Linked DNA regions of Drosophila melanogaster. Changing the gene in region 3 together with the main gene of any one other region gives a genetic interaction. Each region holds a gene or a part of one and is shown on either strand. Other genes may lie near its edges. The genes, in order: CycA, mts, png and Pp1-87B.

What was found.
Region 1: of png (region 3) and CycA, changing one enhances a phenotype caused by changing the other (phenotypic enhancement), as found in Drosophila melanogaster (one study listed by BioGRID).
Region 2: of png (region 3) and mts, changing one suppresses a phenotype caused by changing the other (phenotypic suppression), as found in Drosophila melanogaster (one study listed by BioGRID).
Region 4: of png (region 3) and Pp1-87B, changing one suppresses a phenotype caused by changing the other (phenotypic suppression), as found in Drosophila melanogaster (one study listed by BioGRID).

The regions. Positions count from the first base shown.
Region 1 is NT_037436.4:11,827,338-11,835,376, forward strand, and holds the start of CycA (cyclin A), read right to left. Parts: upstream 6,242-8,039; 5' UTR 5,732-6,241; coding exon 5,537-5,731; intron 4,910-5,536; coding exon 4,716-4,909; intron 4,646-4,715; coding exon 4,390-4,645; intron 3,508-4,389; exon of another isoform or gene 3,300-3,507; coding exon of another isoform or gene 2,280-3,299; intron 2,224-2,279; coding exon of another isoform or gene 2,098-2,223; exon of another isoform or gene 1,912-2,097; intron 1,853-1,911; exon of another isoform or gene 1,693-1,852; intron 1,348-1,692; coding exon 1,124-1,347; intron 1,056-1,123; coding exon 851-1,055; intron 781-850; coding exon 533-780; intron 469-532; coding exon 315-468; 3' UTR 1-314. Other genes in the region: CG7264 (uncharacterized protein), read left to right, coding at 2,098-2,223, 2,280-3,299; CG43064 (uncharacterized protein), read right to left, coding at 7,910-8,039. UniProt on the Drosophila melanogaster protein: Essential for the control of the cell cycle at the G2/M (mitosis) transition. Interacts with the Cdk1 and Cdk2 protein kinases to form MPF. G2/M cyclins accumulate steadily during G2 and are abruptly destroyed at mitosis.
Region 2 is NT_033779.5:7,826,019-7,833,916, reverse strand, and holds mts (microtubule star), read right to left. Parts: upstream 6,268-7,898; 5' UTR 5,866-6,267; coding exon 5,764-5,865; intron 3,456-5,763; coding exon 2,892-3,455; intron 2,449-2,891; coding exon 2,258-2,448; intron 2,184-2,257; coding exon 2,111-2,183; 3' UTR 341-2,110; downstream 1-340. Other genes in the region: Rack1 (receptor of activated protein kinase C 1), read left to right, coding at 6,748-6,856, 6,936-7,147, 7,581-7,898.
Region 3 is NC_004354.4:1,355,822-1,359,384, forward strand, and holds png (pan gu), read right to left. Parts: upstream 1,781-3,563; 5' UTR 1,713-1,780; coding exon 837-1,712; 3' UTR 667-836; downstream 1-666. Other genes in the region: CG11417 (uncharacterized protein), read left to right, coding at 1-589.
Region 4 is NT_033777.3:12,422,771-12,427,828, forward strand, and holds Pp1-87B (protein phosphatase 1 at 87B), read right to left. Parts: upstream 3,148-5,058; 5' UTR 2,919-3,147; coding exon 2,010-2,918; 3' UTR 1,841-2,009; intron 1,747-1,840; 3' UTR 851-1,746; downstream 1-850. Other genes in the region: CG17202 (uncharacterized protein), read left to right, coding at 89-100, 163-696; NANS (N-acetylneuraminic acid synthase), read left to right, coding at 3,842-4,177, 4,284-5,058. UniProt on the Drosophila melanogaster protein: Is essential for the regulation of mitotic chromosomal segregation as well as regulation of chromatin condensation during interphase.

The DNA.
Region 1 (8,039 bases), on a different chromosome or scaffold from region 3:
CGGATAGTTTTTAAGACTGCCGAAGTTCTTACTGCTCCCGCTTGGCATGACAAGCTCTCACCGTGGACAGACGCGAATGTTGTTAAGCGCGTATATTTTGGCAACTATCTTTTATATGGCTTACATATAAAATTGTCCGGCACTTGCAACGGGAGCTTGTCAATCGGCCAACCAATGCGAAGCTTTTATACGACTGGCTGACTGCGACCGAACTGCAATTGATCCATTGTGTACACTTATAACTAAAACTACATAATGTTACATGGAAACACTAAACTAATATACAATTTGGCCATGACAGCGGCTCAAAACACTTAAAACTTATAAAACAAATTCACGTTCGATTTAGTATTAATATCCGGCTGCTGGTGCTCATCCTCTTTCTGCTTGCAATTGTAAGCCTCACAGAGCTGATCGAAGTCGTCCTTGCTCATCTCAACGGATTCCATCATAGCCACCTTCTTGTAACTGTTAAGAAATACATTTGGTCAACACGGGCTCATTCTTCGGCTATCTAGTGTTTGCGACTTACGTGTCTCTATTGTACTTTTCCCGCATGGCCTGCGTGTTGAGCTCCTTTGCCGTTTTGTGGGTGTGACACAGATGCAACACAACCGTTTTTAGGTCCTCCAGCTTGTAAGTCGTGATCTCCTCCAGCCTTGGCGTCCACATCTCCATGCCCAAAATGTGACGCGCCAGTGCGACTGAAGCGGATGACATAAGTGATGGCAAATATTGCAAGTACGTTTCTCCCTCCATGAGCGACAACTCGGAAATATACTGTGTCAGGTAAACATTAAGTTAAGTTTCGGCTTTGTTTCTTTTTTCTTTTGTATTGGCAATAGCTTACCAGCGTCATGTACTTCAGCTTCTCAGGCATGTCGCAAAGTACAGCATAGGTGTTGATGAAGACGTAAGCAGTCGGTGTGCACAGATCGAAGGAGAGAATCTTCAAGATAACCTGCTCCATGCGTAGCACCTGCGCCTTGGTGTAACTGTCGTCGGTGAGGAAGACAAACTCACCGACCTCTGGGGGATAGATTTCCTCGTATTTTCTGAAAAATAAAAAAATAAACCCCATGAATACACACACCATTATTACCGGACTATCAAGAATACTTACGCGGCAATATACATAGCTGCCGTGCCCACCAGCTGTAACTTGGAGCGCACCACCGCCATTTGGCTCAAAAATCGATCTAGATAAAAGACCGAGAGATAGAGCGTCTCCGTGTCCAGTTTGTACTCCTCGGAAACCTCAACCAGCCAATCAATAAGGATGGAGCGCATATTGTGGCTAATGTCCTTCTGTCTGCGCATATAGAGTGGCTTGGGGCGATGTTTCTTCTGGAAGATGCAAACACATGCAAACAAATGATTAGAAACCGATTAGATTACCCGGCCTAACAAAAATTACTAAGCCAAACTTTTAATACTTTAGGTTAGGATTCGCATATATATAGCTTATGCCTTTTCTACACTCTAATCTGGCAACCAACTACCCGTTCCCAGTTTCATCTTAAGAAGGTGTCAAAAATGTACAAATTTCACGGGAGAAAAAGCCGTACAGTCATCAAATCAAGCGTATAAATACCATAGGAGAAGTGGCAAACAACAGCTGGGGGAGGGAGTTAACCGATTTTTATTTATTTATTGGTTATTTCGTAGTACGTGAGTCGCATCGAAATTCCCAGTTCGAACTTAAATTTCTTTGCCAAACACCTACATATATGTACATATATATGGGCAATATGTACATTAGGTGATTATTTTATGGTCGCTTTAACGATTATTGGAACCGTCAAGCGACTCGAGCTGCAAAAATTAAAGAATTCGATTGACATGAATATATGTACATACATCAGCATTTGTTTTATATTAAGGCAGTTAACTCCCATGAAATTATTATAGATATATGTAAATAGTCTGTAACTAGTAGGTTACAGAGGTAGTAGTAGAGGCAAACAATAAACAAAGCACCCAGCAACCGGGCAAACAAAGTCAACTCAGGCATATATCCACATCCTACTAACAAGAAGAGACAGACATATCGACCTCGAATACAGTTGAACATCTTTTATAACTAACTCCGGCACAATGACGCTCAAAATCGGTATATGCACCAAGCAGGATCTCGACGAGGCGATGAAGCTGCAGAAGCGGGAGCAGTACGAAGATGAGCGGAAGCGGCGCATTTTTAATGCCAAACAGCGTCTTTACGGGGTAAGTATGCATCTGCAGACTGGGTGAGCTTCATTGCCGAATATTCCTATTCACAGCTCGACCTAGAAATGCTGGATCGCCAAATACTTGAGAAAAAGAAGCAGCGAACCGCCCAGATGGAGTGCGACAAGAAATTTGAAGAACAGGAGCAGCTGCAGAAGCGTCTGATCCTGGCCCAGGAAATGGAGTTGGAGAAAAAACAGCGTGTGGTGGACTCGGATCTTAACTATTATCGCTGCCGCTATCAGCGCAAGGAGCAGCGCCGCGAATTCGACCTAAATGATCCGAATTTCTTGAAGAAGGCACGTCCAACAAGAGTCGCCGACAATGACATTTCGCTGGGCGTGTCCAGTGCCCAGATCTTTCAAGGCGAGGACCTCTATAACTCTGACAGAAAGCAGCGGCAGCGGGAGCAGCAAAGAGCCTGGCTGGATCAGCAAGTGCAGGAGCGTAAGAGGGCGGAGGATGCTCGCAAGCAGGCCGATAATGTGTTGATGGACAACGTTGGTTGCAGAGACAAGCATCTGCAGGAGATGGCCAAGTCTGATCACCAGATGCGCAACCAAGTCATCCAGCGAGTGCGTCAGTTCAATATCAACATGGCCAAGCAGAAGCAATTGGACCGCGAAAGGGAAAAGCGTGAAAAGTACGAGGATGACATGGCCGAGATCTATAACATGCTCTCCAGCGATATGCTAACTGAAAATCCGGATGTGGCTCAATCGCGCACCGATCCGAACAAGAAGATTGCCTTCATGTATCGCGGCATGACGCCCGAAGAACTTCGCGTGTTTCGTCTTGGACAAGATCAGCAGCTTCGTTTGTCTATTCAGCGCAAGACGGAGGCCCAGATGATGGACAAACAGTGGGAGCAATACTCCATTAATATGGACCGCACCCTGGTCCTTCACCAAATCGAGGATGATCGCCGACGTAAGGCGGAATTCGATGAGCTGATGCGGGCGAATTCCAAGTTGGCCGTGGAGCAGGATCGCCAGCGCAAGGAAGCCCTTGTGGGCCTAACCAATGCCGTCTCCGATGACTTTTACGATCAGTTCAACAAGAACTCACGTTAGTGGGATTGTATTGAAGTTCCCAACCAAGACGATTCGAGAATAATGAGCTGGATGCGATTAGAAAGCTGCCTCACTTTCTTGTGCAGCAACTTTCCATAGGCGTCCAGAACATTGTACTATTTTAAAAATACAATCTTTGTTGGGAATCTTCACGACGAAATTATAATGTTCATGTTGGAAACAAAGCATTTCAAATATTTAAAAATTTAAAAAAAAAAAAAGACAAAAACCCATCTCTAGTAAAAACTGAAATATCAAGGGAAAATAAAGAATACGCCCATTCTGGACAAAACCTAATCCTTGTGTTGTTGTTTTGTATTATTTAATGTTGTTTTCGAGTTTTGTAATTTAACTATCGATTTTAAAATATTTTTAAATTTTTTTTATTTGTTTTGGTTTTCTAGTTTTTTAAATTCTTTATCAATTTTAAAACTTTTTTGGTTTTAATTTTTTTTTTAGTTTTTAAACTTATTTTAATTTTTAATCTTTTATTTACTAACGTAGGAAACAAACTACAATAGTAGTCAACCTCCCTCTGCAAGTCGAATTCCATTGGTACCCCGAGTGTTCTACGACTTTGGACGAATGAGAAAAAGAGAGTCAACAACAACGACAAAGGATGAGACGGACGCAGACAGACAAGCGTTTCGCTTCCCGCCCAACAAACATGTGCCCGCGAGCGGGAATAAGTGTACCCATGAACCCATAAAGAGGCAGCGTTGCGTGAAGGGAATGCCAACGGAGGGTGCGACAGGGTCCGACTTCCCCTAAGAAATTACGTCTGCCTGCGTCTGCACAGAAAAGTACAATGCACATGGCCAAGTAAGTAGTAACACATTGAAAACGCAAGATACCTTGGGAAAAAATTCCAAATTTATGCCAGAAAACATGACTGCAATACCCTGGAAGATAATCAAGGAAAACTCGACCTGATAAAAGTTGTCCACTTCAGTTACTAGTTAAAAAATATCATTGTCTTTGACAATGATTACGCGATGAAAGCGAGTTTGTGAGTTTGAAATATTTTTGTGAGGAAGTCATCTAATAATATCATATTGAAGCCTATGTTTATGTCCCTGGTTTAGCTTACCTCGCTCTCCCGGAAATATTCCAGAATGTCCATCTGGTACTGAACCACTTCCAGGAACCGCTGGCGATCGTTGCGCGGCGGAAGCTCCTTGACTCTTCCAGTTGGCGAGACTCCCGTTTCAGTGCCCACGCTGATATCACTGGACTGTATGACACCGAGAATGGAGCGGTCCACGGACATGGGGGACTGAACATCCGTCACGGACATGGGTGTTGAATCCAGATCGTAGTCTACCAGCTCCTTCTGCCCAGCACCGCTGAATGGAGTGAAAAAAAAAACAAACAAAAGTTTGTTTGCGGCTTACCAAGTGACAGATGGAAACTTACAATTTCACGTCATGGTTCTCTTTGTCGACTAGGGAGGCCAGGGATTTGCCGGATGGCGCAACCTGGGTATCGTTGTTGTCCTCATACACGGAGAAGGTCTTGAATTGCTCCACCACGGGCACCACATTCGATTTCTTGGCGCCGTACTCCACATTCTCATCAACATTAAGATTTCTGACGTCACGGAAGACCTGCTGGAAGGAACAGAAGACGAAGAAGACAAATTCAACAATATGGTCAACTTACTATATTAGGTAATAATTTTATATTAGGTAATATTGCAGTGGGATTATAAAAGTAAAAACACAAAGATAATTCCTTTTACATATGCATCCTTAATATAGTAAGCAAAAAAGAAATAAAATGATTATCCCCCCCCATAAATCGATCCAACTTTAAGTTGCGCGCCTTTCCCTGGCTTCCCGTATTGCTCGTGTGTGTGTGTATGTGTGCACCTATACGCATGTGTGCGTTGCATGTCGCAATTGCTTTTGCCCTCCTTGCTTCGCTTTGTTGTTGCAAATCATCAAAAAGGCGCGTAATTGCAAGGCCTGTGTCTTTTTCTAGGTTAGTTAAGGTTCTAGGTTAGGCGCAAGTAAGTGCATTGGTCGTTCTAAGAAGAGAGTAACGTAAGATGGAGAAGTGAAAAGGATGGGATGGTAGGGGAGAGGTAAGGGAGAGAAAACCACCACCACCACTAGGAGATCTCACACATGCGCACGGTCGCAGTGGTGTGACGATCCCACCACCATAAAAATATAAAAAGGCAGCTGCATTGGAATTAGGCACTGGATGTACGGGAAATCGGCAACGGTACTTACAACTTTCCCGGCCGGACGCGGCACATTGTTGTTGCCATTGAGCACGGCGAAATTGGCCCGCGGCGCAAGCGCATTTTTCTCCGCTTTTCCCCCAATTACGGCCAGCGGCTGCTTGGTGTTCTTCACTCCGGCCGGAATCTTAATGCCCGGATTCTCCTTGTTGCTCATGTCTTGGTGGATCTGGAAACTGGCCATGGTGCGCTCTTTCCTACTCCTTTTTTCGCCTTGTAAAATGGAGTCCGATTATGCTCTGCTCTTCCCTTCCTTCTCTCTTTCTCTTAGCGTCGTTGCCTTCTTGCTGTTGTTGTTACTGCTGCTGCCGTTGTTGTTGTTTTGTGCTGCTTTCTTATGCTCGACGCTCACACCGATACGCACACATTCACAGGCTCATATGCTCAACGAAGACGCAGACATGTGTACATTAGGCGCAGGCAAATTTTATCATCGACAAATTGACGCTTGAATTACACGCACACACACAGTTTTGTACAGAATTCATTTGACTTTCAATTTCGTACGGAAGTTTGTGTCACGGCAGCGTTGGAATTAGTTTCCTTGTTTGGCTACGCTCGCACGGACTTAGCTAATATTAAGTATTTTACAAACTCCGTACTTGTTCAGCGGTTCGTGGTTTAAAAGCAATTGCTGGCTTCTTTTGATTTTTTCCCGGTCAACACGTCGTAAATGTTAGAGATGACACTGTCCAGCTATCGATAGGTCGTGGCGTCTATCGACATTTGCCGACAGTGTGGCCATATATGTCAGAAGTTTGTTTTTTAGGACTGGCAACTCCAGCAGTGCGCAAAATTTAAAAATGTGTATAACGTTAATTTTTATTTTTGCCGAAGTCCATTGTTTTTGCATAGTTTTTAAAAATGAGTGCATATTTATTTAGTTCTAAGCTTTAGAGATCAAACCAATAATACATATTAAAGGTTTATAAAAAGGGTTTGGAATAAGTTCTTCATGGGTTTGTAAGCATTGTTTTGAAGTTAATCGAATATATATGTATTATATCCATATATATAATCCATATATTATGTCCACGGTAATCGCTTAAGTTGTTATTACTGTTGCTTTGATTAAGATTAAGAATTCACTGCAAAGCGAACTTGACAAAAATCAATTAAACAACTGTTTATCAAAATATAATTAAATAGAAAGCGTAATGTTTTTGATGAAATGTTTAAATAATCGACGTATTAGGACACTTGGAAAAATGTTTAGGTTACAATTAAAAAAAATGGCTAGGCTTTTGGACTTTCGGTCTCGAGTGGCTCCAAAAATCGTTTCTGTCCCAGAAATAAATCGAAACAGGAAAAAAAACTTTTCCCCTTTTCGAAAGTCCTTTCAAACAAAGTGGCCGCTCGAAGTTTTGAACAAATTATGAACTGCATGCAACAGAAAGTACACAATTAACAACAACCACCGCGTTAAATTTAAGAGCAGCAACTCTCTAATTAACTTTTTAAAGAGCTTTATTTCGGCTACTGCGATTATTATTATTTGGCTGTCAGTGGAAAACCCAAAAAAAGTTAAGCGAAACTTTTTCTTTTCAATACGCCTAACGATGCTACCCATTTATAAAAAATATGTTAGTGTAAATACAAAAGTATATATATTTATCAATTCGGATGACTTTCACGATTAGAAAGATATAACGAAATACGCCATACGTCTTCCCTATGAATTTCTAATGGGAGGGGCTGTGAGATATTTATAGAAAATACAAATATAACATTCATTATAATAAATAATAGGTGAATTTGTTAACAGTTATGGTAATTGTTTTGATTTCTAATCTTCTTAAAAAATATGTATCCTGATTTCTTAACCCTTTTAAGTTTAAGAATATAACAACATAACGTGGTGGCTTAAATATTTGTCATAACTATTAAATATGTATTGTTTTTGACTTAATTCAGCATTGTACATACATGTATGTATGTATGACTCTTGCCACGATTATTTTGTGAACGGAAGAGTATGTTTTCTAGAGCAGCTGCGCCTCCCTAAGAAAATAAAGAAAAGGTGTATCGGATTTTGCATTGTTTTGCACGAGACATTTCGCAACTGCCGGCCTAAAAACTAAATCAGTTAGGAACCCAAAGAAGTACGAACACAATGAGCTAACCAACATTCTGATCCTGCACACAAATGCTGACCTTTGCGATCTCGATGTCCTGGAGACCAGGTAGCAGGACAACCGACTAGCAGTTACACAATTGTATAATATCGTTGGCCCCAGCAGCTCTGGAAATATACATAAAATACCTTACAGGGTCAAATAATAATTACCAATATAGTAAGGCAATATTTGGCGAAAGTCAAACGTTTTTTTATTAACTAACAAAAAATGCTGTTCGTTTGTAATTAATCTAATTCATTAGTATCTTTGTTCATCAATATGGGACTCTTTAAATAGCCGTTAATGAACTGAATGTTCCTCTTGCCCTTCGGAACCGGAAGATTAAGGCTCCAATCAACAGATGATTCGTGCAAA
Region 2 (7,898 bases), on a different chromosome or scaffold from region 3:
TAATGGATTTTCCATGTCGCATACGCCGCAGTCGTCGTCGACGTCGCTGCCTGCACGACAAATACAATCTGCTCCAGGGCCTCCAACTGAACCCCCCCCCCTCCACGCTCCCCTCTTTTACAACTGAAAATCCAGCCCCAACTCCATGGCCTCTCCACAGCAGCCAGGGCGACAATTACCTCCCCCCAGCATCCTGTGGAGCTCCTGTTCTGGTTTCGGGTTTGTTGGGGCATGATAGATGACAAGTCTCGGTAGGTGTACGTATGGGTATGGTTGTTTGCTCGCCAAGTTCTTGGGCACTTGAGAGTCCCCATCCTCGATCCAGCATGTTCTCAAATTTAGATTTTCATCCAGACCAAAACTCATGTGGATACAGTGCCAACTGGCGGTGCACGAACTGCTTATCTCAGAATAATCCATATATTCTAGGGTTTCTACTATTGCCAAATGTTTATTATTTATATATCGTTTACTTTCTTGCTCTTAATATACTTTTCATTCGTATGCTAAAGTTAAATAACCAACTAAATTATCAGGAACATCAAATCCAATCGAAATAGTTTCCAAAATACTTTGTAAACAGAAACAATAGAGAGCGACCACTGTACATGACTTTTGACAGTTCGTGTGGGCGGCTGCTAAAATATGCAAAAATTTATACAAAGTTGGCAAGATTTTTGCTTTCGCTTTCGCTGGGAATCAAAGGCAGCCCGGCTCTGATTTAGATTTTGACTTGGGCATCATTGGTTGGCTGGCACCACGACCTCCGTCCCTTCTATCTGCCCTCTGCCATCCATCCATATATCACCTCCCCCACACCCATATCGCCTCCTTTGTGGTCTCAATTAGGTGGCCCGTTTGAGGCTCGACTTCCGCTCGTCGTGGTGGCCTCGTGTTAACTTGGCCATGTTCGCATACACACTACCAAAGGAGCCCGCAGGCCAAAAGGGAGCGTCATTGCCAGAACGAAAAACCAAAATCGTTCGCATGGGTCTCTCTTAAAGGACTTTCTCCCTTGAACGCGCGCTCTTCGATGGCTCTCTTCGTCGGCAGGTGGGAATTGTTTGTTTGTTTTTTTTTTCTTTCTTTTATTATTATTAAAGTTACATATGAACTTAATTGATAATGAATTTTTTTTAATCATTTTTCTTTGCTTTTTTGTTTGTTTTTTAATAGTTTTATTCGCTTTTTTTTATTTAATTTTAATCAGTAATATTAAATTTGTTGTATTTCCTTATTTTCTTTTTTATAATTTTTGTTTTTATATAAATCGCTGGCCCGCCCCGCGCTTCCCCCATCGCAATGGCGTTCGCTGCTGCTCCTGCCACATACTGCTCCTACTTTTTTGCTGCTGCTTCATCGTTATCTTCCTGCTTTGTCGGTCGTGGGTCGTCTGCTTCTGCTTCTGCTGCTGCTACCGCTGCTGCTTGCTTATGCTGCTACGTCCTGGCGTTCGTCCTTTCGTCCCGTTTAGTCCTTTGTCAGCCCCTTCCGCCCACACACACATCACGTCATAATCCATGAGTCCATCCATCCATCACTCCTGCTCCCTGGCTTTCTGCTGCGACGCTTAGTTCGTTATTTTTATAAATTAACAAATTTAGCTAAGTAGTTGTAGTTCTTCTTGTTGCTTGCGGTTTTGTTGCTTGGTTTCTGGGTTGGTTGGTAGGTTCGATTGGATTGTATCATTTCTGTATACTGCTTCTCCTTCTGCTCCTCCCCTTTATCTTTGATATAAATTTTCTGCCTGCCGCCCCCGCTGGCGACATTTCCGGTTTTTTCCTTTTCTTTTAAACTGTGGCCAACAACAATAACTGTTCAATGCATTTTTGTGTTCTCGACTGTTATGGTTACTTTTTTTTTCTTTGTTTATACAATATCTCTTCCACTGCTCTCTGTTTAAAACGACCTCCACAAAACAAATGCATCGAGGTTTTTAGTTTTGGGTTGTTTTTTATGGTAGTTTTTTTTTCGACAGCACTTGCCATTTTGTTTATTTTGTTGCTGCTGGTTGGATTTGTATATATTATATATTGTTTCGGTTCTTCTTGTTGTTATAATGCGATGTAATATGTGTAAATGTAAGCTGCGTAGGTGCGAGCAATCCAGCTTAAAGGAAATAATCGGGTGTTCTTCGCGTAACATGAGGCTCCCCGCGCCTGGGTGCTGGATCAAATTGTAGGCTAAAATAAATGCAAACGATTAGATTAGTCAGACATGCCGCATTTAAAGGCAGCTCAAGCGAATTGCCACTCACAATGAAAATTTAAGTGAATCATCCAGTTCCATAAGAGCCGCTTGGTTGCCACAGCGGTAGCAATAGTTTGGCGCTGAGAATATTGTGACCACATTGCGATCGTGACACCAGTTGTAGCCCTCCATCACCAGCTGATGGGCGCGCGACACCAGTGTCAGGCCGTTTGTGTTGTTAAAGGTTTCCGAAATATCCTTCAAATAAAATGGAAATATTAGTAAAAATGCTTATAGAAGTAATTGGCTCTTTCTCAATGAAATTCGATTTGGATAGTTAAAATTTGTTTTGTAGTTGACGGTTTGAAATGTCAAAACAATTTATAACGAAAGCTCTTTCCATTGATTGCGTTATCAGTTGGGCCTATATCAGCAGTAGACTTCGATTACTGATTATTGATTTTCATCAAGTGCATGCCCCGATAAAATTTCCTATTAAGATCAATAAAAAATTTATCTAGAATATATTTGCATGCTTTTGAGCAGACAATTTTTGTTCAGCTTAGTTTTAATCGGGTCTTCAGATGTATTTCACTTAACAATTTTACAATGTGATTAAAGAATAAATTTCCAAGTATCCAAGCTAGGCAAATCAGCTCCGAATTTTATTGAGAAATAGCCAACATGCAGACAACACTCACCTGGCCAAAGGTGTAACCGGCGCCACGAGGCGAGATTCCCCAGCCACCCCTGTCATCGGGATCGGACCAGAGCAGATCGCACATGGGACCCTCGTGCGGAACCTCCTGCAAGCGATCGAGGGCCCGAATGTGATCCAGACTGTCGATCGAGGGACTGAGGCCTCCGTGCAGGCAGAAGATCTGCCCGTCGACGAGTGCCGTCAGTGGCAAGTAGTCGAACAGATCCGTGAAGTACTTCCAAACGTTGGCATTGCCATACTTGCGCAGGCACTCGTCGTAGAAGCCGTACACCTGTGTGATCTGGCGCGACTCGTGGTTACCGCGCAGGATGGTGATGCGCTCGCGATAGCGAACCTTCAGGGCCACCAGAAGGGTCACGGTCTCCACGGAGTAGTATCCACGGTCCACGTAGTCGCCCATGAACAGGTAGTTGGTGTCCGGAGACTTGCCGCCTATCCGGAAGAGCTCCATGAGGTCGTGAAACTGACCGTGGACATCTCCGCACACTGTCACCGGGCATTTTACCTCCTGCACATTGGACTCCTTGGAGAGAATCTCCTTGGCCTGTAAAGAAATGGAAACAGTAGACCAATCAGCAATTTATTTATGGATATTTTTAGGGAGATACGTTTTAATGTTACCTCCCTATTCGAATAACCGAATAAACAACTTTGAATACCAATATTAAAATACTGATTAACATAATCTAGCCCAAATCGTTTCCAGGGTCAGAAAAGATAAATAAAACGATTAGTACTTTGTACATTATTCACTATACTTAATGACTCAACGCCAACACTCAAAGTGTACTCTAAAAATAGCTTGTAACTAGAAGAGAAATTAAAACAAATATATTGGATAAGTGCATGCGTTTTTTTACAGAGAATCGAGGGAAATAAATATCACTTGTTCTCTTTAAACATCCCACAAGAAATTTTAATGGCATCAAAACTCAATCTCTTGGGTAATTCTGAAAATAGCTTCCCGCAAAACCCTATAAAACTGTGTACCTAAACATTGCTACTTCCTATAAGAAAAACATAAACATGTAGCAAAATTTCCGGAAATTACAAAACATTTTTGTTACGTTTGTGTGTAAATAGTTAACCAAATGAAAGTAATATGGAAACTTTGATGTTCTATTTTTTCACCTGCCATAATTCGGTGAATGGTGAATGACATGACAGAATATCTGCGAAACAGAAAGTACTGAGAAAACCGAAAGTGATCCGCATGTGCGGATGATAAAACCTTGTCAAAGGCCAAGGTTATCCGTCAAGATTTGGTCAACAAGCGAAGAACCTCAACTATTTTCTCATCGAATTTTGCGTCAGTTGCAAACAAGTTTAAGTTGCTAATATAAGCTGTATGAAAATCAAAACAAAGGAAGCAAAGCTTTTTAATAAGTTGAGATAAGATGAACGTACGATAAAAAGTTGTCCGTATAAACATAACAAATTCACGATTCTGGAAAGTATTCTATCGTCTTTAGTAAAATAAAATATGAAGGTCGATTCAAAAATTCCCGATGGGCGTCAATATACAGCATCAAAAAAACCGGTTTTTACAAACATAAATGTGCCAAAATGAGCAAACAAAAATTGCACATTTATTTTGACCATTCCGCCGTGTTCTTTGCGAATTCTTATATTTATCAGCTGACGAAATGGGACATGACAACAAGTTCCGGGGGTAGAATCCGGCGGCGCAAATGAGCGATTTGTGCGTGAGCCAATTAGATTTTTTGCCATATGCACAGCATTACCTTGGAGGCTGTTGCTTCCGCTTGGCCAGAAATCGAAAAAAAAAAAAAAAGAAAAATAATTTTTGAACTCATGACGAGGCCAGCGCACCCATACAGATGCATGCACAAACACTGATGCAGCTTGTGCTCTCTCCGCGTACTCTCCGCTTTTCTTTTCGTAGCAACGGGAAGGATGGAGAGAGGCCGCAGAAGACGCACCCGAGAAGAGCGAAGAACGTTCTTCTCGGAGGGAGAACGGAGATTCAAGATTCTAATGGGAACACTGACAAATATTTGGGTGACGCAAACATAACCCCACTTACTCCTAAATCAATGAATCGTTATCTGTTCACCCTCTCTTTTTCTCTCCCTCTCTTGCACTCTTTTTGCTTGTCTGTTTGTTTGTGTGCGCGACGCGCCTGATGAACGGTAAAATCGGCAAATTAAAAACAATTGATATCAAAAGTGTTTAATTGAACATGGTTGGTCATAAAAAAAGGAACACAAACACCAATGCAAGTGCATTATTCTAGAATTGAGATACGACGGTACATAGATACATATTCTAGGGGCGCGCACACACCGACGCACAAAAACATTAAGTAATATTTACTCAGCAACGACAAAACGCGCATGAGGTTGCACGGAGCGGGGGTGCTCAGTTTCCGGTGGACACAATAACAACAACATTAAACACGCACAATGCACTTTAGTTAAACAATCAAATTGTACAATAATACAAAAAGAAATATCTCTTTTTGCCCAGGTTTAGCCCATTAGACCAAAGCGCTGTTCTAGCTGTCGCATTCACGCACGCACTTGCCCGTCCCGTTGTCCCGCTCGCACTTGTGCGCGGCAATGCGGCGCTTGGCTGTTGGAATTTACCAATATTCCAATATGGCGACGCAAGCCGCCGCTACTGTGCGAGCAAGAGGGCACGACATGAATCATGCTCTCGCGCTCTCCGCTCAGCGCCTCTCCCCATTGGAAAGAGCGAGAGGGCCAGAGACACGCAGCGTTGGAGCACCATTTGCAAAAAAAAATCGCTCGCTCGCATGCAATGACGAAAATTATTTTTATAACATCTCCTAATTCGCATGGGGAAAATGGGCAAGGACCGGGCCTTACCTTGTCGCAGAGGGTGCGAACTTGTGTCTCTGTCAACTGATTGCATTCGTTCAACTGCTCAATCCATTGATCAAGATCTTTTGTTGTTGCTTTATCCTCCATCGCAGTTGTGGTGGAAGAAAAAGTCTCGTCAATCTTTGTCGATTCAATTTTGACGGCTTTTATTATAACTCAGGGGTGCAGGAAAATTAGCAACTACTGTTGCGTTCGATTGCCAACCGCGTATTCACTCGTTTATCTCCACACAATTGCCAATCGAATCAACTCGATTTGGGCGATTTTCTTCGTATTTTTTGTTCACAAAAGAGACGACGACACGATATACGAAGGGAAAGACTGCCCTCGGTGTGACCGATTGCCGCGAAACGCTTAAGAACGCGCTGTGTGTGTGTGTATCGATTAGCGATGCATGCTTGACATTTCTACAAAAATACCGACTAAAACTTGTGGATGGTATCCTTACTATTTGGCCAACAGTTACCAAGTAAAACTAGAAAATAAAGTGGGATCAACGCTCACCGTTTTTTTTACATTATTACGTGATAGTGACAAAATAAAAGTATGTACATAGGCATTTGGGCAACAAGATATTGGGATTGTTTTAAAATCCTTTAGTAGTCTTTTCATAGATGTGCATTAGCGTCGATTATTTCTTAAATAATAGCACAATTTGTTTTAAAACTAAACTTCAATATTTCTGGGGTTCTTTAGATATAATAATATTAATACTTGGTGTAAAAGTATTTATTTTTTTTATATATATTTTAAAGTTTTTGATATTATTATTTGACGTTACATTTTACACGTATTATTTGTAACAGAAAATTCAAACTATCGATAGTTTTGTCCTGTCCAACACTGAACGCTCGCTGACAGTTGGCATCTTAGCGAGCACTGGAACCGGAACTGCCTCTTTTTCTGCCAGCTTGCAGCGCCTTTGGACGTGTTTCCTTCGCGCTCCGTAGCAAATAATATAAACTCAAGATGTCCGAGACCCTGCAATTGCGCGGTACCCTCATTGGCCACAATGGATGGGTCACCCAGATCGCCACCAACCCCAAGGATCCCGACACCATAATTTCGGCCTCCCGTGGTAAGTAATCGCCATTGAAATTCTTCGGATTTATCTGGTAGCACGTGCGTATATTAATGGCCACCATCTCGATTCGCAGACAAGACCCTGATCGTGTGGAAGCTGACCCGCGACGAGGACACCAACTACGGCTACCCCCAGAAGCGTCTCTACGGACACTCGCACTTCATCAGCGACGTGGTGCTCTCCTCCGATGGCAACTACGCCCTGTCCGGATCCTGGGATCAGACCCTTCGCCTGTGGGATTTGGCCGCCGGCAAGACCACCCGTCGCTTCGAGGGACACACTAAGGTGGGATAAGATTCCAATTGCATTTAGTTCGTTTAGGGAACTGAGATTTTGAACCGATCTGTACCGGCAAAAGGCTAAATGTAAGGTTAGGAGTGAGGTTAGGCCCGCCTTTGCCGCGTACAAATCGAAAAAATATATATTGCGCCTATGCGAGGCAGAATTACTGGTTGACATCTGTACGACGTACGCTTCACCCTTCGCTCGAGTCTCGGCTATAAATTGCTTGAAGCTCCATCGTAAGTAGGCAAACAATCTCTGATACCCATTGATTCCTAATTAGTTGCAAGAAACCCATCTGGATTCCGTTCACTGACTAATTGAGTTGGGACTATGCCCATTCAGTTGGTCAGTGAAATATCCAGTAAATATATTATTTTTATGAAAACCATACCAATACCATTAGCTAATCGTCAAATGCTTGTTCGCTTTCTAGGACGTTTTGTCGGTTGCCTTCTCGGCCGATAACCGTCAGATCGTGTCCGGCTCTCGGGACAAGACCATCAAGCTGTGGAACACCCTGGCTGAGTGCAAGTTCACCATCCAGGAGGATGGCCACACCGACTGGGTGTCGTGCGTGCGCTTCTCGCCCAACCACTCCAACCCGATCATCGTGTCCTGCGGCTGGGATCGCACCGTCAAGGTCTGGAACTTGGCTAACTGCAAGTTGAAGAACAACCACCACGGCCACAACGGCTACCTGAACACGGTGACCGTCTCGCCCGATGGCTCCCTGTGCACCTCAGGTGGCAAG
Region 3 (3,563 bases):
CTATTTCGCCGAGGAGTTCGCTAATGGAGACTACGCTCCCCCTAAAACGAAGCAGGACAAGAAGAAAAAGAAAAAGAAGGGAAAGGACGATGGAGAGGAGGACGTCGAGGCGAAGCGGCAAGAGAAGGAGCTTGAGCTACTGCTGGACGATGGCGACGGGCGCGACGAGAAGCAACACTTCAGTCTGACCAAAATCCTCAAGAAGGAGGAGCAAGAAGCGAGCGGTTCAAAGCGAAAGCGTCGTCAGAAGTTAAAGAAATCGAAAAATCAGCCGCAGAATGCGGAGAAGCTGGACGACGACTTCCAGGTAAACCTGAATGATAATCGCTTCAGTGCCGTTTACAAGTCGCACGAGTACAACATCGATCCCACCCACTCCCATTACAAGCCCACCAAGGGCATGCAGCAGATCATCGGCGAGAAGTTAAAGCGCAGAAAGGAGCAGGGGGAGGGCGGCGCTGCAAACGGCGATGCGGATGGGGATGAGCAGGTAGCCCCCAAGAGGAGTAAGCAGCAGCTGGAGCAGAACGCCCTGGTAAAGAGTCTGAAGCGTAAGATCCAGCTGCAGCAGCAGGGCCAGAAGCTTTAGAGGATTAATGTTACTGTACAATAGGTGAACAAATGTAAATTAAAGACTACGTTAATGACATTGAGCGAGACTGTTTTGGAATATACATTATATACTGTTTATAGCTGACAGATCCCCTGGCAAAAGCACAGGCGCACACAAAGCACAGCACACACCTTAATTTATCGCTTAAGCTAGCCTAGTTCTTAAGTACAATGAAATATTTGTTGAGGTCTCCTCGTGCTGGTGAGCTGACCATTGGCTTCCGTTAGTAGCTGTAGCTGAAGTAATGCTTGTAGAGGGTCACAGTCATGCCGGCGTCGAGGTGGAAGATGTCTGGTAGGCAGATGCGGCGCTCCTGCTCGTAAACGACCATCAGCTCGCAAACTTGCGCCCACACGGGATCGTAGAGACGCCGGATGAGCTGGCAGTCGAGCCGGGGGCGGACCAGCGCCTGGACTACGGTGTGCAGTAGGGCAGGGGTGGCGTTCTTGTCGAGAAACGCGGCGAAGGGGCTGCGTCCGAGGCACAGCTCGTAGAGGACTAGCCCCAGTGACCACACGTCCGACTTGAAATCCACCTTGCCCTGGCTGGACATCGCCTCCGGGGCCATGTACATGGGCGTGCCCATGCCCGCCTGCAGTTGAGTGCTGGGCGCATGAACGTTCGCGATCCCAAAGTCGGCGATCTTGACGCGGTCGTTGGCGTCGAGGAGCATGTTCTCGGGCTTGATGTCTCGGTGGATGACGCAGCGGATGTGCAGGTACTCGAGTCCCACTACCATGTCGCGGAAGTAGCCCATCAGCCGCTCCTGATTGACTCCCCCGGTGCCTGACGGCAGCTGCTGGATGACATCCCTCAAGGTGCCGTTGGGCACGTACTCCATCACGATGTTCACAGTGCCCGCGTGGCTAAAGGAGCGCAGGAACTCAACGATGTGCGGGTGGCGCAGCTGCGAGATGATGTACACCTCCTCCTTGATCAATCCCAACTCTGTCTTCGGATTCCGGACGATGATCCGCTTCACGCACACCTTCCTCTCCGGCTGTCCGCGCACCTCGTTTTGGTGGCAGAGGAAGACCCGGCCAAAGGTGCCCTGGCCCAGCACCCTTACCGCACGCAGCTTAGAGTCACCCAGTTCCATCTCGAGTGCGCAGAGTTCCGAAAGCGTAATCCGCGATCCCGCCTTGATGTACAGTTAGCCAGCAAAAGCGCAAGCGCGCCATCTATCGATTGCTTCGAAACAAGAGATGCACAGTTCCATCGGAAAAAGCCGAAAACTCGGAACTTCGGAAACCCCATATGAAAATTGCTCATCTGGCCAGCAGCAACAGTGCTCAATGAAAGTAAGTTATTAGAGTCTGGTTAATTAATCAAACTAACGCATCGTGAACTAACCCCATTCAAAAAGTCCATCCATGTGAAAAGTATGACTATCCTAAATTTTTATTTATTTTATTTAACAAAATTAAATATAGTATACAATACTAAACCTAATTAAATTTAATGAGTACTAGCTACGGGGGCCTTCGACTCGAGACTTATGGGTTAATTGCTTTATATAATAAACTTAGCTTTTTGGACAAATTTGTAAATTTTTGAGATATTTTCACAGGATGGGATACTTAAACAATTCGAGAGACTATGTGTACCAAATAAGTGAGATCTAATTGAGTGCAATTGACTGCAGGCGTTGAGAATATGGTCAACGGTGAGCTCGTCCCCGCATAGTTGGCATGTTGGTCGCGCCGATCTCATCAGTAAGTGTTGATGTGTGGATTGGGTGTGCCCGATGCGTAGACGGATAAAGGTCGCGCATTCCCGTTTATGTACGTTCGTTGGTGGCTTGAACATGATGCAATTCGGATTGATAGACTGGTACCTGTGCATGAAGAGTGCCCATTCGGAGAGTTTCTTTTCTTTGAGGTATAACTTGATTCGACTTTTTAGGTCCTTGGAGTTAAACGGAGTGAACAGGATTGATGGTGTAAGCCTCATCTCTTGGGCGGCTTTGTCAGCAAGTTCATTCCCATGAATACCTTGATGACTGGGAACCCAGAGTAAGGTGATTTTTTTTGGGTGAGAACTTAGAATGTGCCTAACTTCTTGTGTTGTGGGGTCATTATGGTTCCAGTTGCGTATAGCGGAAAGAGAGGAGAGGCTGTCTGTGCAGATAACAGATTTTCCAGCGTTTTTGGAAGCGAATTGGCATGCTTTGAGAATGGCGAAAGCTTCGGCTGTAAATATGGAGTTGTAGGACGGAAGCCTACCTCCTGCAATTATTTTACGGTTAGAGTCAACAACCGCAAAAGTAGTTGCGCCGGTGACTTTAGAACCATCGGTGTAGATCCAGTTTTTCACACCAAGATCTTCTTGTGCGCTCATAAAACGTTTTTGGTATTCTAGGCGACCTGTATCCTTTTTGGCAGCATTGTATATTTGAAGGTTTATGTTAGGCTGTTTGGAACCCCAAAGTGCTGGCGATTTGAAGGGCCTCCTGGGCTTAGGCAGGGGAAGGTCAAGTAGCTTGATGTAGTTGGCGCAACGTCTTAGGGTGGATATGCACTTGAATTTCCGTTTTTGTTTAAATATGGCTCCGAAGTCTTTGGTTAGCAGGCAGTTTGACGTGGTGTACAGCTTCGGGATAAGCATCAATGTAGTTTCTTCTACGCGTGATTGGATACTCGGGAGACCCGATTCTGCCAATGTGCACGCTACTGGAGATGTGGGAAATGCGTGAATGGCGCGACGGACCGCTCCGTGATATGGGACTTGTAGCTTTTTTAAGTGTGATTTAGCACACCAACCGAAGATTGGCAGTCCGTAGTCAATTTTAGATAGCATTAAAGCGCGCGTTCGGCATTCCACAGTCTTCGGGTGGAGACGTGTTTCTTTCAAGCTACGAATAGCAAGTTCTAAAAACTACAACAGTATAGTGAAAGTTAAACACAAAGTGTAAAGTGCAGTTTGCACAACTAACAATTATTGACTATAG
Region 4 (5,058 bases), on a different chromosome or scaffold from region 3:
GCACGCAGCCCTGGCTTCAAGGGGGCTTGACTTTGGCATTTTTCGAAGTTGCGCCCACAGCCACACCGCACATCTCCATTTTGCAAAGATGTCCTTTAAGGTGAGCTTTTGTCCAAAAACTGATTGCCATTGGCTAAACAAGAGTCTCCCGCAATGACACAGCCCATTGACCCGAAGCGCGACGAGATCCGGCGCTATCTAGAGCGCGGCAGCGTCCTGGACTCGCTGACCAAGCTCTTCATACGCGTGATCAAGGAGCGGCCCGAGAATCCCATGGACTACATCCGTAACCACATCGGCGTGGTGCGCCACCAGCACGACAAGTACGAGCGCCTGCAGCAGGATCTGCAGCTGGCCAACGAGGAGATCCAGCGTCTGCGCGCCATCATCAACGGCATCAATCCCGACGTGCTCCAGGGTCATCAGCCAGTGGCTTCAAGTGAAGTAGTGGTCGCAACGGAGGCGCCACAGACCGTGGCCGAGTCCACTGAGGCGGCGGAGCAGCAGCAGCAGCAGCAGCAGCAGGAGAACGGCGAGACTGAGCTGGAGAAACCTAACGAAAGTTCGGCGGACGTTGCGGAGATAACTGCCGCTGTGGAGGCCTGCCAGATTGAGGGGAACTCGGTGGTGACCACCGATGAAGCCGCACAGCCAAGCCCAACCGTCCAAGCTGAAGCCAGTGGCTCCAGTGAGTAGATCTCAGATGACAGCAGCACGTGCCAGCACACACCAAACGTAAAAACAAAAACATCCCATTTAGAACGCATTCATTTAGAAGAAATGTTAAGTATTTTCCGGAATTTACATGTAAATAAAGCGAAATAAAGCATGAGCGCATGCAGCGTATTATGGATTTTTCAAATGTGTTTATTGAAATCAGTTTCATAATTCATACACGTTTTATATCATTTGTTTATTAATACAAAGGATTATTGATAATACATATTAATAATAGTTAATTTTTAAAAAACACATCCTTAAAATGACGGGAAGCGGACGTTTGAATAGCTGATGAATGGTAAGGAGTTTTAGGGACAAACTAATATATTTCGCTGATTTTCTTGCAGATATTTCTCTGGCTGGCTGGCTGGCTGGTCCATTCGGTCGGACTGCATTGTGGACGAACAAAAAAAAAACTGATTCAAGGTCGAAACTTAGTGCTTATAATTCCTCTTTATACTTCTTGGCAAGCATTCGCCTCCACCTCCTCGGTTCAACGATTTCCCCTCTTCGATTTTTTGTTTCTTGTTTTGTTTTCACTTGCTCTATACTCTTAAGGCCAACGAGCACTACAGGGCCCCCACATCTGTATGCTTTGTGACCGACTGGCGTCCAGTCGCTCCTCTGCTGCTCCGTTTCCATCTAATCTGCATGGTTATGCGCTTGGTGCTCTGCTCGAACGGTCAGTTGATTAACCTAGTGTTTAAATTTTGGACAAAACCTATAAAAGCGCTGGTGTTCAAATGTGTGTACATGTGTGTGCGTGGGTGAATGGTTGGTCGGTCGGTAGATATACATATATATATATATATACGGGGGCTATTACAAATAAATATGTGGCTTTTAATCATGGTATTTGTCAATGTGTTTGTAATTGCGATTTAAATCTCAATGGGTGTGGGGTGGAAGGGGAAAACTGCAGTCATCTGCTGGAAGGGATGTCTCTGGGGATGTCCTTTGATCGTGGCGCTGCTATTCCATACCAAATTAATGGTGCAATTTCTTGTGGATTTCGACTCGCCCCGGCTGCCGATGATAAAAGTGACCAAAAACAGAGATAAGGTTGGGGTGAGAGTGTGATTCACTAGTTTGTTACTCTGCGTCAGCAGCCCATACTTACGTTTCATGCATCATTTGATGTGTTGTTTCAAAGGATTTTATTTCTGGTTGATTGTGTGGTTGGGTTTGTGGTTGTTTTTGTCGTGTTTATCTTTTGTATCTTGTTTGGATTTCTTATTGATCTGTTTTAGATAGAAAAAGACTGCTCGTGGTGCTGCAGTTGTGTGATATTACTTTTTACGCTTGTCGGCTGGCTTGAGGATTTGGAACGAGCACATCAGCGTATCGTCCACGGACATCATGGCGCCGGCATTGTCGAACTCGCCGCAGTAGTTGGGCGCCGAGAACAGGGTGACCAGCATGCGTTTGGCAAAGAACTCGTACCCATCCTCGACGACTTGATGGGCTCGGCAGATGAGATCGAACTCGTGCTTCTGCAAAAACTTGGCCACCACCTCGGCACCGAAGGTGAAGCTAACGCCGCGGTCGTTTTCGCCCCAGCCCATGGTATCCTTATCGGGATCGGACCACAGGAGATCGCACAGCAGTCCCTGGTCGGGCACATCGGTTGGCCGCATAATGCGACGGATCTGCTCCATGGAGGTCAAATCGGGACTGAGACCACCGTGGCAGCAGAAGATCTTCTCGTCGACAATGGCCGCCACTGGCAGGCAGTTGAAGCAGTCCGTGAATGTCTTCCACAACTTGATGCTGTAGCGACGCTTGCATTCGTCGTAGAATCCGTATATGCGATTAATGCTGGCGCATTCGTGGTTGCCGCGCAGCAGGAAGAAATTCTCCGAGTATTTGATCTTGTAGGCGAGCAGCAGGCAGATCGTCTCCAGCGATTGCTTGCCGCGATCGACGTAGTCGCCGAGGAACAGGTAATTCGATTCCGGCGGAAAGCCGCCGTACTCGAACAGACGCAACAGATCGTAGTACTGTCCATGGATGTCGCCGCAGATCTTCAACGGTGCCTCTAGCTCGAGCAGAATGGGCTGCGACAGGAAGATCTCGCGCGACTTCAAGCAAAGTCCCCGGATCTCGCCCTCCGAGAGCTGTACGTTTTTACCTGGCCGTGCCCCACGCACCTCGAGAAGTCGCGATATTATGCTGTCGATATTCATCACGTCGCCCATGTTTGCGTGCGAAAGTGTGGATCTGGTGCACTAGTGCTGCTGTTGGGTGTCGAGGTTACCGCGAACGATCGTTGGTAGCGCCGAAATAGCCTCGAAATCTTTAATTTCCGAAATCTATTTCTGCTAAATACTTTTCACAGCTAACAAGTATGAAAATTTCTTCGTATGCTGTTGCGTGAGTGCGGGCGGGATGGCGAGTGTGCTTCTAGCTGATGTTGCCACACTGCCGGAAGTCGCGGATATGGCCAGATAATAGACGCCATCTTATCTAATCGATAACATGCAAATATAGTGCATAATCGATAACGAAGTTGCTGTAATATTACTCTTATTACATTAAGGACATTTCCAATCCATTGCAAGAGTTCCGCAATAGCTCTACTTTTATATTTTCATTCGAAACGGGTCTTCTCGACCCTATAGTGGCTCGAAACTGCTGTTAGTAATCGATTAAACGCATGGCGTCCAGTTACTCTATTTCAGCGGTGTGGCAGCCTGATCAGGGGGACACTAGCCATCCCGCTTGCACTCAGGCACGCCTGGCATGACTTACTGTGGAAAAGAGATGGGAGACTGATGCATTTGGCGAGGCTATTCGATATACCGGTAACAAGGGGATATTTAAATACATTGGAAATTCAAATAAGCCAATAAGAATATTCGTTTACAGAACATAGGTTAATTCATTTTCCTTATTGGAATAACTTCCACATGAGTTATGATTTAAAATGCCAAATTTCCCTTAAATTCTCACAAAACTAAATAATATATTGATAGATATATTAACAATCACACTATGTAAAAATTTTGTATGAAATGTGCTCATGTCTTGTTATCGATAATTCGATACTCTATGCATTTCCTGCCTACGCCCGCTAATCATTTAATTAACTGTTAAATAGGCGGGTTTCAATTTAATCAAAATGCTGTTAAACGATATCATAAGCGGAAAATTAGTTGATTCCGTCTATATTATAGCGGAAATTGGCCAAAATCACCAAGGTTGTGTGGAAACAGCGAAGAAAATGATATGGGAGGCCAAAAAAGCCGGTTGCCACTGCGTCAAGTTTCAAAAATCGGATTTGCCAGCAAAGTTTACGAGATCCGCTCTAGATCGCGAATATATCAGTGATCACGCCTGGGGAAAAACGTACGGGGAGCACAAGGAGTACCTGGAGTTCTCCAAAGATCAGTATCTCCAGCTGCAGGCCCACTGCAAGGAGTTAAATGTGGACTTTACGGCTTCCGCCATGGATGAGGTTGATATTAATTAATTGTTAACCAATTACTACTACTAACAATTCCTTTTTTCCCTTGTTTCTTGCTTAAATAGTTATTAATGTGTGTATATGCTATTTTAAACAGAGATCGTTGGAGTTCCTTTCTGCTCTAAATGTTCCCTTCATCAAAATTGGTTCCGGAGACGCAAACAACTTTCCGCTTCTCAAAAAGGCCGCCAATTTGAACTTGCCCCTGGTGATCTCCACCGGAATGCAGACTATGCAAACTGTGGAGAGGATTGTGCAAACTATGCGGGAGTCAGGAAAAGAGGACTACGCTCTAATGCACTGCGTTTCATCGTACCCAACTGACCCAAAAGATTGCAGCTTGCAGTTGATATCCGTCTTAAGGACACGCTTTCCCAATGTGGCAATTGGGTACTCGGGTCATGAGCTGGGAGTGATCATTAGCCAGGCCGCCGTCTTGCTGGGAGCACGCATAGTGGAGCGCCACTTTACGCTGGACAAGAGTCAGAAGGGCTCCGATCATCGCTGCTCCCTAGAGCCGCAAGAATTAAAAGCTCTGACTACAGCCATCACCAACTTCAAACTCTCTTCAGTTCCCATGCCTCCACAAGAAATAGTTAAAAAGTTAAATGGAGATGAGGAACTAGAGGCAGCTCTTCAGCACGTTGAGTCTAAAACCATTTTGCCGTGCGAGCTGCCCTGCCGAAATAAACTGGGCAAATCTATTGTGGCAGCTAGGAATCTCAATAAGGGTTACAGGTTGCAATTGGCAGATATGGCCATTAAAGTCAGTGAACCCAGCGGCCTGACAGCGGAGGATTTCTTGGACTTGGTAGGCAAGGAATTGGCAGACAATATTGGTGAGGATGAACCCATACTTGGGAATAGTATAA